Linked DNA regions of Saccharomyces cerevisiae S288C. Changing the gene in region 4 together with the main gene of any one other region gives a genetic interaction. Each region holds a gene or a part of one and is shown on either strand. Other genes may lie near its edges.

Evidence for each region.
Region 1: mutations in MAD1 (region 4) and CTF18 together harm fitness more than expected from each alone (negative genetic interaction), as found in Saccharomyces cerevisiae (9 studies listed by BioGRID, with this or other methods).
Region 2: mutations in MAD1 (region 4) and EAF1 together harm fitness more than expected from each alone (negative genetic interaction), as found in Saccharomyces cerevisiae (6 studies listed by BioGRID, with this or other methods).
Region 3: mutations in MAD1 (region 4) and CHL4 together harm fitness more than expected from each alone (negative genetic interaction), as found in Saccharomyces cerevisiae (8 studies listed by BioGRID, with this or other methods).

What each region holds. Positions count from the first base shown.
Region 1 is NC_001145.3:422,003-426,572, forward strand, and holds CTF18 (Ctf18p), read right to left. Parts: upstream 2,727-4,570; coding exon 501-2,726; downstream 1-500. Other genes in the region: ESCRT-III subunit protein VPS20, read right to left, coding at 1-147; phosphatidylinositol/phosphatidylcholine transfer protein SEC14, read left to right, coding at 2,987-2,995, 3,152-4,057. UniProt on the Saccharomyces cerevisiae protein: Essential for the fidelity of chromosome transmission. Required for the DNA replication block checkpoint.
Region 2 is NC_001136.10:1,191,355-1,196,729, forward strand, and holds EAF1 (Eaf1p), read right to left. Parts: upstream 3,531-5,375; coding exon 582-3,530; downstream 1-581. Other genes in the region: GGA1 (ubiquitin-binding protein), read left to right, coding at 1-378; protein-transporting protein BCP1, read right to left, coding at 4,058-4,909; transcription factor TFIIIC subunit TFC6, read right to left, coding at 5,325-5,375. UniProt on the Saccharomyces cerevisiae protein: Component of the NuA4 histone acetyltransferase complex which is involved in transcriptional activation of selected genes principally by acetylation of nucleosomal histone H4 and H2A. The NuA4 complex is also involved in DNA repair.
Region 3 is NC_001136.10:963,402-967,046, reverse strand, and holds CHL4 (Chl4p), read right to left. Parts: upstream 1,935-3,645; coding exon 558-1,934; downstream 1-557. Other genes in the region: ubiquitin-protein ligase RMD5, read left to right, coding at 1-490; MET32 (Met32p), read left to right, coding at 2,482-3,057; CCR4-NOT core subunit BTT1, read right to left, coding at 3,186-3,635. UniProt on the Saccharomyces cerevisiae protein: Component of the kinetochore, a multiprotein complex that assembles on centromeric DNA and attaches chromosomes to spindle microtubules, mediating chromosome segregation and sister chromatid segregation during meiosis and mitosis.
Region 4 is NC_001139.9:345,481-349,897, reverse strand, and holds MAD1 (coiled-coil domain-containing protein MAD1), read right to left. Parts: upstream 2,780-4,417; coding exon 530-2,779; downstream 1-529. Other genes in the region: LCL3 (Lcl3p), read right to left, coding at 1-282; E2 ubiquitin-conjugating protein MMS2, read left to right, coding at 2,994-3,004, 3,090-3,492; YGL088W (uncharacterized protein), read right to left, coding at 3,697-4,062. UniProt on the Saccharomyces cerevisiae protein: Central component of the spindle assembly checkpoint. Thought to recruit MAD2 to unattached kinetochores. During checkpoint activity, MAD2 is relayed from the MAD1-MAD2 complex to the mitotic checkpoint complex (MCC).

The DNA.
Region 1 (4,570 bases), on a different chromosome or scaffold from region 4:
TATTAGGTCTTTTAGTTGACTCTTCTCTACCAAAATCAAATTATCTGTCCTCCTCGTAAACTTATGAATTTCATCTTTAGATCGTTTTACTTCTAGGATCGCCCTATCTGTTTTGGTTATATGCACTTTACTACTTTTTTGGCCCATTCGATATATACAAAAGCACCAAGTGGAGTTAATTCAGCAGTCTGTACTATTTTTCCAAACTATCTATGTTTTGTTCTTTTCTATGCGCTATATTGTATCCCACAGATAGTAATTCGATTTTCGGTCTTTCTGCTCTTCGGGGTTCCATTTATGTAGAAATAAGAACGATAGCGAAGAGGGTAAAAGATCACGAATAAAAAACGAACGCTGCGTGACAAAATCGGAGCTGTTGCGACTACCGGCAGGATTGATTGCTAATGTTCTTTATTTACTTCTTTTAGATTTCTATGTAAGCTGCTGGTCCATATACAAGTATGCTTCTTAAGAGAGACTGCGTATATATCTTACGTCATTTATTCCCACAGGTTATTCCAAGTCACATTTTTCCTGACAGCGTTAGAGAACCCCTCATTGTATTTCACCCATATTTTAACCGTTTGATTGCAGTCATCTGCTTGGTTGGTTTCGTCTGATCCAATAGTTTTTTGTGTCTCTTCCAATTCCTGAGTTTGCTTCAATAATCCGTACTGATTCTTGAAAAAGTCGATTGTACTTGAGGAAGAATTTAACCCAGTTTTGACTTTTTTGCTATGCATTTCCTGTGACTGTAGTCTATCCTCAGTCACTTGGTCTATATGCCTTTTCTTGGCCCGGTTTTCCTCAATCTTTGCTAACAGTGAACTCAAATTATTAGCCCGTTTATGTTGGACTTCGTTAATATGTTTAGGATTTAACAATACGACTTCATCGATTGGGGGATCGATTGTTAGGCCACCCCTTACATCAAATCCTTCTGACCGATTTTGGATTAGATTCAGTTGAAAGCTTTTCAGCAATTGAACTAATTCCTCCATGATGGCTTGTTTGAGTTTCAGGTTCCTTATTTTATTAAAATCGGAAGAGATCATCGAATCTAGATATGGTAGTATTTCAAAGATTAACGATTTTCTATCCGTAAAACTTGCCATTAGTGGGGACTGAACCGAGATATGTCTCATAATCAGACTAACTATATCTGAATTGGCTCGTTTTAATTCACGTTGTTCGTATTCACTATTCTTCATTCTAATATCATCTTTGTTTGCGATATCGCCAAACGTTTGGAAGAAGACTAGGGGCACAAGGGCGGAGTAACGTAACAATTCGCCATTATGCGCATACATTGATTGGTACATTAAATCATGGAAAAATAGCCAATCTGAAATGTTTGCTGGCTTTCTTATACCATTGTCGGAATATTTTACGTAGGGAAATATATTAAAACAGCCTTGCAATATCCTGTCAGAGTTACCATTAAGCTCTACTTGGTTTAGCAATTCATAAAACTGCTCCTTTATATCACGATGTGGATCCTTTCTAAACAATTGGTTCACGATTTTAAACCATGATATGGGGGAGTCCTTGTTGGATGACGCCCACGTATTTTTTGCACAAGCAGGTTTATCTGATGCAGAGGAATCTCTTGAATCAACATTCGAGGCCAAGAATTGTAAATTGTTTATACAATTCCTTACGTCACCTTGAGCCAAATCAATTAAGTCATTGATTGCTTTTATAGGAATATTCATGTTTTCTTTATGGCAGATAAGGTTCAATCGCTCTAGTAGGGTAGTATCGGAAGGTCTTTTCACAGCAATAATTTCACAGAATGGTTTCAGCTTTTCCAAAGAAGGAGCATATAGATTATTGCAAATACAAATAATAGGTCGCGTAAGCAATTTAGACCTTTTCTTTTTGCGCTTTTTGTCCTTTTTATCTGGTTGACCGTATAATAGTTTATTAGTGGCTTTAATATCGCTTTGCATAATGTCAACTAAAATTCTAATAAATCCACTCTCAATACTTCCATCAATCTCATCCGCCACTAAGCACACAGGATTTGTATCGAAAGTATGATTGAATAAAAGATTATATATTTTCTCTTTTACCATAGGTCCAGCCCTTTCATCACTTGCATTGATTTCTGAGACAGAAAACCCTGATTGTTTGGCAATAACGTGAGCTACTGAGGTTTTGCCTATTCCTGGTGGCCCGTGCAGTAGTAAAATTTTCTTTGGTGGCCTTTTCAATGGATCGAGTTCCATATCACTGACCTCTTTTTCGGTTGGCAATTTGGGTAATTGCTCTTTAAACACAGCCGGCGTCCATTGTCTCAACCAACCTAACATTCTCCTGTTTGTCTTTTCATTACCAACCAAATCTAGAAATTTTTTAGGACGCCATTTCTCTACCCAGAGTGTGTCGCTACCTATCTTGCCAGTTATAGGTGAAGTCTTTTGTGCGTTAGTGCGGTCATCGCCAGATGCCTCAATTTTGTCTAACAAATAGTTTATATTGATGCCGTACGTGTCGTCTGATCTCCAAACAGTATCTGGGTTAGTGTATAGACTAATATTCCCGGTTGCTAACTTCGCAGGCTTCTTCTTTAATTGAACCGTTTCGCCAGTACTTGATACAAACGCGTGAATATCTTCCTCATTAATACCAATTGCATTATTACCAGGGGCTTGTTCTATATCACCAGTATCAAAAAGGGAACTTCTCCCTAGTGAACCAATGTATGGTGCGGTATCAACCATGATCCCTGACCTTACATCCACCTTTTGGGTCAAATAGTGTACACATTAGGAATAAAATATATGAAATCATGTTTATTTACGTGTTAGATGTTCCGTACAACGCGACTGGCTAGTTCGTTTTTTCCACATTTTTTTTTTCAACGTTGATCAACAATAAAATGGTACATCTTCCTTTGTTTGTGTCTTAAGTGTCCTTTCCTGGTATATCGCTTGACCAGCGCCTGTAGCATCAAACCAAACCTTCATCGCCCTAAAACACAATGGTTACAGTATGTTGTTGCTTTTATTTACTTTTTCTTTTTTTGACATTCATTGTGACAATATTCACATTCTTCAGATAGTTCTGTCTATATGAAGCAAAAATGATATATCAATAAGTTTACTAACAAACACAAGTGGTATTACTATGACTTCACTTTAAATAGCAACAAGAAAAGGAATTTTTAGAATCCTACCCTCAAAACTGTCCTCCAGATGCCTTGCCTGGTACTCCAGGAAATTTAGACAGCGCTCAAGAGAAGGCATTGGCAGAACTAAGAAAACTTTTGGAAGACGCTGGTTTCATTGAACGTTTAGACGATTCAACTTTACTACGTTTTTTGAGAGCCAGAAAATTTGATGTTCAATTGGCTAAAGAAATGTTTGAAAACTGCGAAAAATGGAGGAAGGATTATGGTACCGACACTATCTTGCAAGATTTTCATTATGATGAAAAACCATTGATTGCCAAATTCTACCCACAATATTATCATAAAACCGATAAAGATGGCCGCCCAGTATATTTTGAAGAATTAGGTGCTGTTAACTTACATGAAATGAACAAGGTTACCTCTGAAGAGAGGATGTTGAAAAACTTGGTTTGGGAATACGAATCTGTCGTTCAATACAGATTACCTGCCTGTTCAAGAGCTGCTGGTCACCTAGTGGAAACTTCATGTACAATTATGGATTTGAAAGGTATCTCCATATCTAGTGCATACAGTGTTATGTCATATGTTAGGGAAGCCTCCTACATAAGTCAAAACTATTACCCCGAACGTATGGGTAAATTTTACATCATCAACGCGCCATTCGGTTTCTCTACCGCATTTAGGCTATTTAAACCTTTCTTGGATCCAGTCACTGTTTCAAAGATTTTTATCTTGGGTTCTTCTTACCAGAAGGAATTATTAAAGCAAATTCCAGCTGAAAACTTACCAGTCAAATTTGGCGGTAAGTCTGAAGTTGATGAATCCAAGGGTGGGTTATACCTATCCGATATCGGTCCATGGAGGGATCCAAAGTATATTGGACCGGAAGGTGAAGCTCCGGAAGCCTTTTCGATGAAATGATATTATTTTTAAAGACATTTTTTTTTCGAGAGAGAAAAGAGGAGTTCTAAGTAACGATATTTTACAACTGAGATAAGTACAAGTATGCTTATTTACTCTATTCTACTTTTTTGAATAGGCATAGTTCACACTTTTATCTCCTTAGTTTGTACTACTCTTTTTTTATTTTTTTTTTTTCTTCCACTCAGCTATTAGATTATTTATTATTTTATTATCTGTGGTATCATTTTCTACAGCCATACCTTGATTTTAGTTTATTTTGTTGGCAGTTATATACATTTATCTTATAGAATACATATGCACGTATTAAACAATAAAAAGAACATAAGCAAAAATGAAACCTCGCTACAATAAAACTTTATTACGCATTGCAGTGCGCCGTAAAGAGTATTCATTAGAAGTACAATGGTAGCCCTATTTGGTTGCAACATGTTTTAGCAAAGAGATTAGTAGGCTAGGATATCAAGTCCATGCCCCTTTATCACATACTGTAATGATAGATGCACCTCCGGA
Region 2 (5,375 bases), on a different chromosome or scaffold from region 4:
AGTAACTCCAAGGAAATCACAGCTCAATCGCAAAGACATATACTTAACCAATCGGATCACTTACGCATTGATTACGAATTAACTCGTGAGTCGATGACAAAACTACGATTAGTTATCTTCTATTCAAACATAAGCAGTGATCCAATAACTAATTTTGCACTTTTAGTGGCATCACCTAAAGGCACGACATTGTCTCTGCAACCGCAATCGGGCAATATGCTCCAAAGTAACTCCAGAGATGGTATCAAACAGATTGCTTCCGTAGAGGGTATATCTGTTAATTTAGGTAAGCCCATAAAATTGAAATGGAAGGCTAATTACTGCACCAAGGGTGATTCGAAGGAAGAATCGGGCACGACCAGTTTGCCCACAATATAATCAAATTCGGTAGAGAAGTTGAAAAAAAAGTAGATGCCATATTATATTACAGAGAACAGAGTGTTACGCCAACATACTAAACCAGAGAAGTAAAACGTTTTACTTATATATAATAGTATTCGTAAATTTATAAAAATCAAAAAACCAATATAAGCCTGGTTAAAAAAAAAAAAAGATCAGTATCGTAAAGTCGTAAAGTTAGGTCATTGTTTTTGGAACCTTTGTAAAATCTCCTGTGGAGTTGGTGACTTTATCCTTGGAGCAGAATTAATGTTAGAAATATTGGAAAGAGAAGATTGAGATGGAGATGATTTCGGTGGCGGAGCTTGAGACCCTGGTTGTAGTTGCTGCAGTTGCTGCACATGACTGGACTCCTCCTGTAACTGCTGCCTTTGCTGTTGAATCTGGTGCTGCTTTAGCTGTTGCTGTTGTTCTCTCAAGGTTCTATAATAGTTTTTTGCCGCCTTAAGGGCCATCTCAGGACCAATGTCTGGTTTTTGCTCCAACAACTTCCTCGAGTAACTTTCAATGATATCTTGCTCAGTATACTGTTTCTGGTTTGGTCTTGGAGCCGACGCTTGCCCATTTCTAGCCAAATTTGAAGAAGATTTGCCATTTGAAGGTATTGGACTTTGAGCTCGGGATGAATGTGCCTGCTGACTTTGCTGTTGCCTCTGTTGTAATCTATTTTTCACTGTTCTTCTCAATTGTATATCCCTTCTCAATGCCTCATCTCTTTGGGCTTTCAAAAGCGACATTTCTGCTGGGGTAGGGACCTTCATGTTTTTACAATCTAACGGTTTCCTTGGCTGGGTTGGATTGGGACGCGGCGTATTTTCTCTTTTTTTCATACATTTTCTAATCGCCTCAAACATGCTCGCCCAACGGAGTCTCCTATGACCTCTTTGTATGGATTCTGTATTTACACCTAAAGGCGATATTCTTCTATTCTGTCTCTGCTGAAATTTATGGGCTTCAATCAACCACTGTTGAGCACTATGTGCTCTGGGACCCTTGAGGTCACTAAAATTGAATCGTTCATTTAATTGTACAAAACGCTCAAAACACTGCCATGGCGTTCTACGTTCAATATTCGATAAATAAGAATATGTGAGGCGATGTGTCATATGTGCACTAATCAATTCCCAATTGTAGCCATATGTGTTAATATTTTTGACCAGTTCCTGATCGTCCTCAGACAGCCATATAGTCGGTGTTCTATTTTGAAGATAGCGTAATGAAGGTACTGCTGGTGGTCTTAAATAATGATTTCTTCTATTACCATAGAACATACCCCGCCTTTTGCTCAATTGTGATATTGATGGTTCTTCGTCAATCAATTGACGCTCAAGTAACTTATAAAATCCATTATCATCCAGTGACACTACCGATTTGGAAATTGGAATAAATGGTAAAGAATCATCTTTTTTTGGCCGTTCTTCATTAATACCATTATACAGCGGTAAATCCTGTATTAATGTTTTTTCAAAAGTATTGAGTTCGTCAACAAAGATTGAAAGTTTAAATGGGGGGGCTAGCTCTTTCTTTGATTCTTCGGTTTCGATCAACGCTGATGATGCAGCTACTTCATGTTGTATTAAAACAACTTCGCTTGAGGAGGATGGCTTTTTTAGAAGTAACTTGGTGTCAATAGAAGATATAATTTGATCGTGGGCACCTTCTTGAGATAACAAACCATCTGCAAAATCAAAATCACTCTTAGCTCCTGCTTCATTCTTTCCATTCTCATCATTATCGTTAGCAGCAGCACTTTCTTTTTCAGTAATATCGTCAACGTTCGCAATAATTCCAATGTCATCCTTACCGGCTATGCTAATATCGGAATCATTTCTTGAAGTATCCGATGGTCTACCGGACTTTTCAGATATGCGCCCGTCGTCAGATAATTTATTTTCCTTACCAGGTAGAAGTGTTTTACGTTTTACACAGCATATTTCCCCATAGGTCCAGTAGTCCTTGATTGCCTGTGCCATTGCTGTGCAGATAGCTACTTTATATTTGTGGCCCTCTTTAAAATCTGCTTGCATCCATTTAGCTTCTTCTAAAAGTATGTTTTGATGCGTATTGTGTTGTTTCCACGGATCGATGAATCTTTTAGGTTGTCTTAAAGACCATAATCCAAGTCTTCTTAGTTCTTCTATTCGCGAGCCAACAACAGTAATTCTGGCCTCGTTTAAGGCGTTGTTTATAATATTAGTGGTCAAAGCCTTGTGAGCTCTCGGTATTAGATTAATAAGAGGCAGAGTTTGTGACATGTACTTCAATTCTGCTAAGGGCAAAGCCTGGGGTATTTTCGATGGTATATAATCGTTCATTAATAAAAATACGGTCTCTAATGCGTCAACATTGTTCTCGTTATAATGGTCTGATGTATCTATCTCTTTCGCCATAATGTTCTTTATCAACGGATCCTTGAATTTTACTGCAGGTTGCACCTCAGTGGGATCTGCTGGTGGGTACTCGATGTTCTCATAATAAGTGTAGTGTGCTAATGCATTAGGCACTGGGGGACGCGGCGAAATAGGTAATGAAGCCATTTCCGAATTATTAGAAGATTCCAATGACTGAGATTGCATCTTCTGTCTTTTTTCATGTCGCTCTTCTTCACCTCCCATAGTTGACTCAAGTGGCCTTTTGTTCCACATACCTCCTGTCTTTTCAGCTGGCCTCAAAGAATCCATCATATTTTCACGGATTGAATTATCGTGGCTTGGAACAAAATGACTCTCTGATTTGACTGATACATTTTCGCTATTTTCTGGCAGTTCCCTACTCATTTTAGAATCGGATAGCCTCTGGTTAGGTACATTTATTAAATTTACATCCTTCAATTTCTTTTTTGTTATGGGAGTCGCAGCTGTATGTAGGAGCTTCGGCAGTGACGCCTCGTCAAACCTTATACCCCTTCGTATATCGTTTTTCTTTAAAAATGCATCTATTTCCTTCCGAAGTTTGTTTTCATCTGTTAACTCTAGCAGCTGGTTCAAGCGGGATACGCAGTATAGTTCGGTCAGTTTTCTATCTCTTTCATCAATTAAGTCATCTGCCTTAGGAAATTTACTTCTATCACTGCTCTGGTCCTCACTGAGTGATGCTGAATTAGGCACTGCTGAACTTGGACGTGAGGACATCTTTGAGGCGGAAACTGTACTTTTGATTATGATGTCTCTAAATAATCTTTATATTCTATCTGTTCGGCGGCTAACGCCTACGGGTAATAGCCGGCCTTTGAAAATTTCGCGGCTGCAGCAAGTACGCAAAAATCCTTATCCCTTCTAACGGTTCGAAAGGGGGAAGAACCAGAAATTTTGTAGTTACGCCGCAAATACCTGTATGCCCCGGCTCAAAATGCTCAACACTTATATGCTGACTATGTTCTATAAGGCTCAGGGTGAATGACCTTTCTTGAATTACAATCTGATTTCACTTTGCACAATATATACTATGTATTTTTATTGGAGCACACGACATTAAAAAGATGATCGCCCAGAAAAATTTTCAGCGGTGGCGGATTAATTTTTACTGTCCTCGGCAGCCCAAAATTATCCGTGTAGGATGACATAAAGGCTCAATGGCCGCTGCTGCTTCGTCTGTTAATAATATACAAATTGCACTAACTGTGCAGGGCAGTGATCGCAACTATTTACTTTTCGTAAAATTACCAAGTGGAAATTTCTGTTTCCAATTCATCGATACTTTTGACAAGGCCTTCGTGATCAAGAATCATGTATGAGCTGATAACACCCTTTTTAGCTTCTGATTCGAAGTGAATCTTGGCATATTTTTCAAAAAATCGGTCCTCCTCATGAAAGTAGTCTACTTCATCGGCCTTCACCCTTTTTTTGGATCTTTCGTCTTTGTTTTTATTCCTCTTACCAGAGTCGGTATCATCGTCAGTGTCAAAATTTACTTCATACTTCCTGGTGACGATGATATAGAAGTCATAATGTTTGTCATCGCCAAGTGCCGTGGCAACATCCTCCAACGTAATCTTGTATAAAGGTGGAACGACTTCCGGTGGCATATTAATCAGCCTTTCACTGAGAACCAAAGCACAATTTTTATTACCACTATCAATCATAGTTTTGAAGAAAGTGGAAAGTCTCATGTCCACTTTTTGTAAATATTTGACATAATCACTTAGATGATTAGCTTTGAAATCAACGAATGAAAGAAAACAGTATGGATCAGATTCTTTGCCGTCTGTTTTAATTGTGGTGGTTGGGGAACCTAGGATCAAATCTGCCAAGCTGCTTAGTTGAATCCTGGTACTTTCTTGAGGACCAAATAACTGACGCAGTAAATTCTTTAAAGCATGAAAATCAACTTCTGGGTTACCACCGAAAAAATCGAAGTCAATATTTACGATCTCTTCTTCTCCATTTTGCTCTTCTTCATTTTCTGAATCGGTGCTACTAATGTCAATTTCAGACTCGTCACTGCCATTTTCTTCCTCCACATTTTTTCTCTTCCTATTTTTTAAATCATTTAATTTGATAGCTTGAACCATATTTGTGAGTTAATTAGCAATCCTATGAAAATGTGGGCCTCATGAACAATCTAAATGATAAAATTATAAGGACATAATAGATAATATATTGACAACTCTTTTTCAGATATTTTTTCTACCTCAATCTCATCGCGAGGAATATAGGCACGGAAAGAGAAACTCGTATAAAGTGACCACGGATATCGAGAATTTGATAATTTACCCTTAACTGAAGTTATGGCACAATATCTGTATAAATTTTAATACATAATTTGCGGCAGGAATAACTGCAACAATACTCAAAGTTATTAGTGCTAGCCAGGCGATATTTTACATTAGGCTATTTTATTCCTTTTTCATTTCAATAAAAAAAGATAGTTTTTTTCGTCAACAATAGTTCAATGTCACAAATTGTATTTATTACGTAAAGTCCATCTCATGACAGGTATTCGAGTGTTAATAGTCCAGCACTATTAGAAAATGCATA
Region 3 (3,645 bases), on a different chromosome or scaffold from region 4:
AAACGTCGTACCATTATTAACTAAATCGCTAATAGGTCAACCTATTGAAGATATTGATTCTAAAGTAAATAAGGAATTAAAAGAATGCACGTCGTTATTTATAAAAGAATATTGTGCTGCAAAACATATTTTCTTTGACTCTCCCTTGTTTTTGATAGTATTGAGTGGTTTAATTTCTTTCCAATTTTTCATCAAATACAAAACCATCAGGGAGTTAGCGCACGTTGACTGGACTACGAAAGATGAGTTGCCATTTGATGTCAAGTTACCAGATTTTCTGACTCATTTCCATCCGATCTTCATCTGTCCCGTCTTAAAGGAGGAAACCACTACAGAAAATCCTCCTTATTCACTGGCATGCCATCACATCATTTCTAAAAAGGCGCTAGACAGATTATCGAAGAACGGAACAATTACTTTCAAGTGCCCATACTGCCCCGTAAATACTTCAATGAGCAGTACAAAAAAGGTTCGTTTTGTTATGCTTTGACTGAAATTTTTGCATAGGTTTTTTTTTTTTTTTTTTATTGGAAGCGATAACAGAACACAGTAGTTTTCTACAGTAAACCACCTTTAGCAACCTGCTCTCGCTGAAAATCTCCATTCATTATCGTTCCTGAGAACGATCCATTTTCTCCAGCCAACCACCCAGGAACTTTATCAATATTTATTAAATTTTTATCGCATAGTTCGTGTAATCCCCCAAAAATATCATTACCATTAAATTTCAATTTTATGGTAATTATTCTACTGTTTATTTCGTTTTTTAAAGTGAATCCAACTTTTTCAATAGGAACTAAGGAACTGTATCTAGAAATGTACACTGGCTCACCAGAATCTTCATTTTTCTTTCCATTCCTAATATTGTGGACATGTTCGTTAAATTCTTTCAAATCATTATATTTCTGATCCATTACGCCGTTTGCTGAACCTTTGAATTTGATCATGTTTTTCTCTAACCTTAGTCGTCTAATTTCAGGTTCTTCTTTTCCGTAAAAATTCTCATCGTCATTTAAGAAAGAATCATCAAATTCTCTAACCATTACCTTTTTACCAGTAAGGCCTTGGTGCTTTTTGTAGTCGTGTAGTGGTGACCGTTCAAAGTTAGCACTAGCATAACATTCCCATGGGCCCATAGACTCCGCAAATCTCGAAGGTCCTAATAAAGTCATTATATTATGTATTGATTTCACGGGTATTTTCTGTACCGGTTTGAAGATGATTGTTTCTCTTTCTGATATCGTTCGACTAATGCTCTGCAAAACTAGTCTAGCATAAATATCCTTGTCAACTGAATGGAAAATTATTGGAGAATTTAGCGGGAATGCAACGTAATATGGTCTCCTTGATATTAATGGTTTCCCTTGGAATTTGTCTAACTTGTTGTAAAGAGACTCTTTATTTATACTCCCTATATTAGGCGTACTCAAAAATAAATTATTGCTGTCAAATAGCTGTATTCTGGTAATTAACACTGGCAAAGAGGGATGTTTAAACATGTAAACATGACAATGGTAAATTTTCGCTAGATCTGTTTGTAAATTTTCTATAAATTTGGCAGGTTGGAGCTTTACTACGTAAGGTTTCCCATCTCCCCGTAAAGCTTTTGATGGAAGCCACTTAAATTTCTCTGGTTTACTTATCATTAAATGGCAATCTATTTCTGCTAATTGGAAAACATTCAGGCCATCCGGCCAGTATACGTATAATATCCTATTTACTATAACATTTCGCCTCACGCCTTTCTCAATCAGTAAGTCTAATGTTTCTGTCAATAAATATATGTCACCATCAAATGACCCACCGAATTTTGCGAACCATGATAGCGTAAGATCATATAATACCGTTACCGGCAGCTTCATCAATTGTTTGAAAACTACTAGTGTGTCGGAAGTTGGTACATAGTTATCTTCAAGCCGTAATTCGTTAGACATTAATTGCTACTCAAATATACTAGTCAAAGATAGTATCCACCAAAATCTTTCCCCGCTAAAATAACGCCAGATGCTTTCTATGCTTCTAATCTTTTACCATTTACCTTTGTTTATTTCAATATAAACTTTAATTTACAGTCCCTATCTATTGCCCGACTGGACTAACATGCACGTGACATTTTGTGATGGTTTTTCGTCCCTTACTTAGTACGCTTAGTACGCCACAGTTTATATTTTCTTGACAATAATAAAGAACCTGATTGTGGGTTAGAACTTGCTATACTTTTAGTTTAAAATAAGCAGGAAATAATCTTGAGTTCTGTATCATTATTATAAATAAAACTATATTTGTTCTCTTTGTCGCCCTCGGAACTTTCCTCATTACATTGACGAGGTATATATAGATATAGTAGATATACATATCTATCCATGGTATATATGTATGCATCTGGATAATTGAATAGGGTTTCATGTCATATGCCAAGAATTTGTTAATAATATAGTGGAAAAAAGTCAAGAGGTATTATAAATTTCAAAAAAGTACCAAATGGAGGATCAGGATGCTGCATTTATCAAACAGGCTACAGAAGCAATAGTGGATGTATCATTAAATATAGATAACATAGATCCTATAATAAAAGAGTTATTAGAAAGGGTAAGGAATAGGCAAAACAGGTTACAAAATAAAAAACCAGCACTCATACCGGCAGAAAATGGTGTTGATATAAATAGTCAAGGCGGTAACATAAAGGTTAAAAAGGAAAACGCATTACCAAAACCACCGAAGTCCAGCAAAAGCAAACCCCAAGATCGTAGAAATAGTACTGGTGAAAAAAGATTTAAATGTGCGAAATGTTCGTTGGAATTTTCAAGATCATCAGATTTGAGAAGGCACGAAAAGACACACTTCGCCATATTGCCTAACATTTGTCCTCAATGTGGCAAAGGTTTTGCAAGGAAAGATGCATTGAAAAGACATTATGATACACTGACATGTAGGAGAAACAGGACTAAATTACTAACTGCGGGTGGTGAGGGTATCAATGAATTACTGAAAAAAGTCAAGCAATCCAACATCGTTCATCGTCAAGATAACAACCACAATGGTAGCAGTAATGGCTGAAAGAGTAAATAGCGTGTATCTTCTCAAATAAGAAAATATATATTCATCTGCAACATTAATGTGATAGCATTTCCACTTCGACATTCGCCACTAGCTATAACGTTTACTGGCAATTATTATGAACTATGTCAGCTATTCATCACTTGTTGTTTTGTCTCGCTGCATCTGTCGCCCAGCTGGTCGAGCACCGTCTGTTCATTTTCTAGGTTATGAGCCAAACCTGTCAAATACTCAAGTTCTTGGCTACCTAATTGAGAGGCTACGCTCGGATACAGCCCATTAAGTGTATTCTCTTTCGGTTGGCCATGAATCATTGTGAGATTGCATTGAGGGGCAATCTGTACAACTGCACTGTTAAAATGTAAAACCTTGCCATTCTTTTTGAAAAAATTTGCTTCGGCAACGTTTTCAATGGTCATTGGATGCAGTTTATGAAGTTCAGCTTGTAACTTGGTATTATCCTTGTCATTGTTATTATATAAATTACCTTTCTTGTTTATTTTCCTTCTGGTACCACCAACTTTGTTTGCTGCTGATAACTTGTGCAGCTTAGCTAATTTTTCTTGATCTACAGGCATTTGATGTTGT
Region 4 (4,417 bases):
ATCATTCTTGATCATTTGTGGGACGGGTCGTAACCATCCCCATCCACCTCTTATACCACCTGGCATGTGAAAGAAATGAAAGTTGTCCCCGTCACCTACAGACGTGACTTTACCATAAAGCCAGTGTTTACGAAATATTCTTCGCGGTATATCATTTGTTCTTTTGAATTGAGTTAAATACCTTTTATATGTGTAGATCAATGTTAAGGTCGAACCCGTAAGGATGATGGAGAGGACAGCAACATCCGCAGATTTTTTTGAATTAGAATCACCTTCCCTCATATAAGTGCATTTATGCCCCCTTAATAGCTATGAAAAACTGGGCTTCTTTTTATATCATGTGTGACTTATTCTGTAATTTGTTTTTATTCTTCAACACAATTTTTTTTTTTTTGCATACCAAAGGAATCATAAAAGGTCAATGATGAAGAAAGATAAAAGAATTTTGTGACCAACAATTATGTCAGCGGATAGGAGTTTATCATATTATAAAACCGATTACTATTATCTATTAGAAATGTATATACACTTATTTGGCTTGTCGCTGTTCCCACAGACGCAATGTTATTGTTGCCAAAAAGCACGGAAGTTGACCTCTATCTTCCACCCATAGATTCATGAGATCATCCCATCCTTCTATATCTGCATCAAGGTTAGATTTCAAAGTGTTTTCATTTAGATCAGCAATCAAATATTTTTCAGGTTTGAAACAGGAAAATATTTTCACACGACTATCTTGTTGAAATTCCAATTTAAAACCTAATAATGAGTTTACAACGTCAATAAACTCCAAAGATTTATTATTGAAAACTTGCTTTAGTCTGGAAAATCTTTTATTTGACTTAAAAACTTCCTGTTCGAACTGTTTCAACTCGAAATTTAGTGAATCATAAACAGAAATGGGTACTGTTTCCACTGCTGGATTATTCTTTTTCAATTCGTTAAGTAAATCTGCATTTTCCTTTTCTAGAAGAAGTAATTTGTTTTTCTTGATAAATTGATCTTTTATGAAGGGGCCGTCACGTAATTGCAGTATACGTATTTTTTTCTCCTTTAGTTTAGTTAACTTTTCTAATTTTTCTTGTAGTAGCTGAATTGTAGTTTGTGCTTTACTCAACTCCCTCGAGACACTTACATTTTCCAGTTGCAATTCGTTGAGCCTCTGTGAATAATTTAAACCAATTTGGTCACTTGTCAACTTCCTCTTTTTTCTTTGTGTTTCTACATCATTGGAATTTGATAATAACTGATCGTTTAGCTTCTTTAGTTCGTTTGTTAAATCTTCTGTCTTATTTTTATAAGTATCGATCAAATTATTCATATCTTCGTTTACGTTCTTGTTTGACGCATGTGTTTCACTATTTTCGACCTCTAGTAAAGCATTATTTTGTGCGGAATATAGGCCATCTAATTGTTCGCGCAGTAATCGACATTCTTCGAAAGATAAACTCTTCTGTTGTTCTAACTCGTGATTTAATCTTTTCAAATTTACTATGTTGTTTTCATAATTCTTGTTCAAATCTAGTATTTGGTTTCTCTCTAAAGCCATTTCATCATTCAGTAGCTTTAAATTGTTATTGTCCAATCTTAACTTATCATTCATATCTGTCAAAATTAAACATTCCTTTTTGGTAAGTTTCCAGTCCCGGATAATCTCTTCAGGGTTATTTCTTATGTTATTTTTGGTTCTGTTGTTATTATTAATATTGTTGTTATTACTTGTATCATTATTATTATCATTATTATTATCATTTTTATTATTATTATTATTATCATTGTTGTTAACATTGTTATCATCATCATCGTCACTATCATTATAAATTTCCCATTTGGTTAATTTCGATTTTAGATCTATGTTTTCCAATTGAAGATTTTCATATTGACTTTCGAGTACGTGTAATTGACTTAATTTGTTTTGTAGTTTTTCATTTTCTAATTTCCAAAAAGTAGAAGTGTCCTGGGATTGTTTAAGTTTTTTCAATTCATTGGCTTGTTGCATGTTCGCTAGTTCCAATTCTTTAGTATACTGAACTTGGTCTTGGATCATTTTGTTCATTTCAGTGAGCTCGTTGAACTCTTCGGTGGAGTAGTTTGGATGTGAGTTTATCATCTTAGATGCTTTTACCGAAGATAATTCATCATCCTTTTCCATCACTTGATGCTGCAAATCTTTGATATCCACACTTTGCCTCTTTATTTCTTTCTCATATTTCATCAGTAGCGAATGAGAGCTCTCTGCTTCCAACTTGAAATGGTCACATTGGTTAGTGACCTTTGATAACTTCGAATCATACTGCTGCCTTAAAGTCTCCATTTCTAAATCTTTGTTTTGGAGGGTTGTTCGCAATTCCTCTATGCATTTGTCTTTATCATTCATCGAATTAGCTGATCTTTCTTTCAAACTCTTTAACTCTTGCTCCAATTTATCATTGCTTTCATAAAGATATTTTGTATCATTCAATGCTTTCTCTAATTCGTCAATCGTGGCCTTATATTTCTTTTCTAAGATATTCGTCTGTTTTTGTAGCTGCAATTTTTCAATCTCATACTCATTTTGTAGAGTATTGAGCTTGAATTGTAACGCCTGAATCTGACGATTACTTTGTCCATTTGTACTGCCTACGTCGGGCGAACCTCCAGGGCTTTCCAAGAAAGGAGAGGACCCACCACTATTGCTCATTTTGTACTGGATAGAATAGATCTCTAGTCCCAATTTTTTTCCAGTGAATCGTCCACTCAATGCACTGAAGAAACATTGCAATGCCGCTCTCACATCCATTATTTACTATTACCTCTCGATTTTAAGATGGAAAAAATTGTTAGGAATTATTCCTAGGGTAACACGCTATCAATTTTCATTGCTCCTTTAGCGATAAATAAGAGACTAAAATAAGATCAACTTCCTACACAATCTCTGCTCATTACATTTCGATGTCGTGGTGAAATTCTTATTCTGTATATGCAACGTAGAAGAAAGCAGCGTTTACACAAAAATGTCAAAAGTGTATGTTATTATAAGTTTTGAAAGGGATTTCAACATATACTAACAAATTCTTGAAATGTACCCTCACTGTCCTATTGTAAATCAGACCAAGAAATTTTAGGTTGTTAGAAGAATTAGAAAAGGGTGAAAAAGGGTTTGGTCCAGAATCATGTAGTTATGGTTTAGCTGATAGCGACGATATTACCATGACCAAATGGAACGGCACTATTTTAGGGCCCCCTCATAGTAATCATGAAAACAGAATCTATTCCCTTTCTATAGATTGTGGCCCAAACTATCCAGATTCTCCCCCAAAGGTCACTTTCATTTCCAAGATAAATCTACCATGCGTCAATCCAACTACGGGGGAGGTCCAAACTGACTTCCACACCTTACGTGACTGGAAAAGAGCCTACACCATGGAAACTTTATTACTTGATCTTAGAAAGGAAATGGCAACCCCAGCGAACAAGAAATTGCGTCAACCGAAGGAAGGAGAAACCTTTTAGTTATCTACTTTTTCCTAAACAGTATTTGCAGCATTCCAAGCCACTCATATATACAAGCAATAAGACATAGATATCCTCTTATTTAGGTAGTAAGTTTAATTACTTTCATAATATGAATTTACTCACCCCATGCCGAGAAGTTACTCGTGCAATTCACTACGATAATGATGTATATAGTTGTATTATCAATCCTTGCAACGGTCCTCATCCGGGCACACGAAGGTAAACCCTTAGATCTGCTAAAAAACAGACGACAGAAAGACTGTTGCACCCAAGATCGATAAATTTGTTCTCCAGTCCAAGCCAATAATAAATATATTGCAACACCAATCCACATTCTTCATGGGTCAAGAACGCCCCGGAGGGGTTCAACCTCGACGAGATACTGTACGTGTTACGAATGGCTGTTAAATTTGCGTTACTGTTATAAAATAACACTAAAATAAGAAATGGAAAGTAAATAAATAGTAAAGGAAAGTCAAATAAAGCAATGAATGCTGCATTGATCTGCCTTTTATAGCTAAGAAAAAAAAAGAGAAAAAAATAATAAGTGCGGGTAACCTCATGCATTGTAAAACGGTAGGGCTACAAGGCACTACTTACTCTACGCTATAGAAGAAGCTTCAAGACATGGTGTTGTTCTTATTTGAGCGAACTCAGCTGTCACCGTTTCGGGAAACTCTATAGTTTTCTGCGTTTCAGTACGCAGTTGGGCGTGCTAAAGTTGTTTTCCTAATTTGCTAGTGTTCACTTGCTCATTGATGTCCCTAAAAGGTAATGTCGCATAGTAAGATGTATGTCCCATATCAAACGCATTCCTAGAAAAACATGCACTGAATGAATAAGCAGTTACTTCGATTACTAATCTTCACAGCATAATTTTTCTCTTATCTTGTAAACCTCTTTCTATCTTTTCATAAAGTTT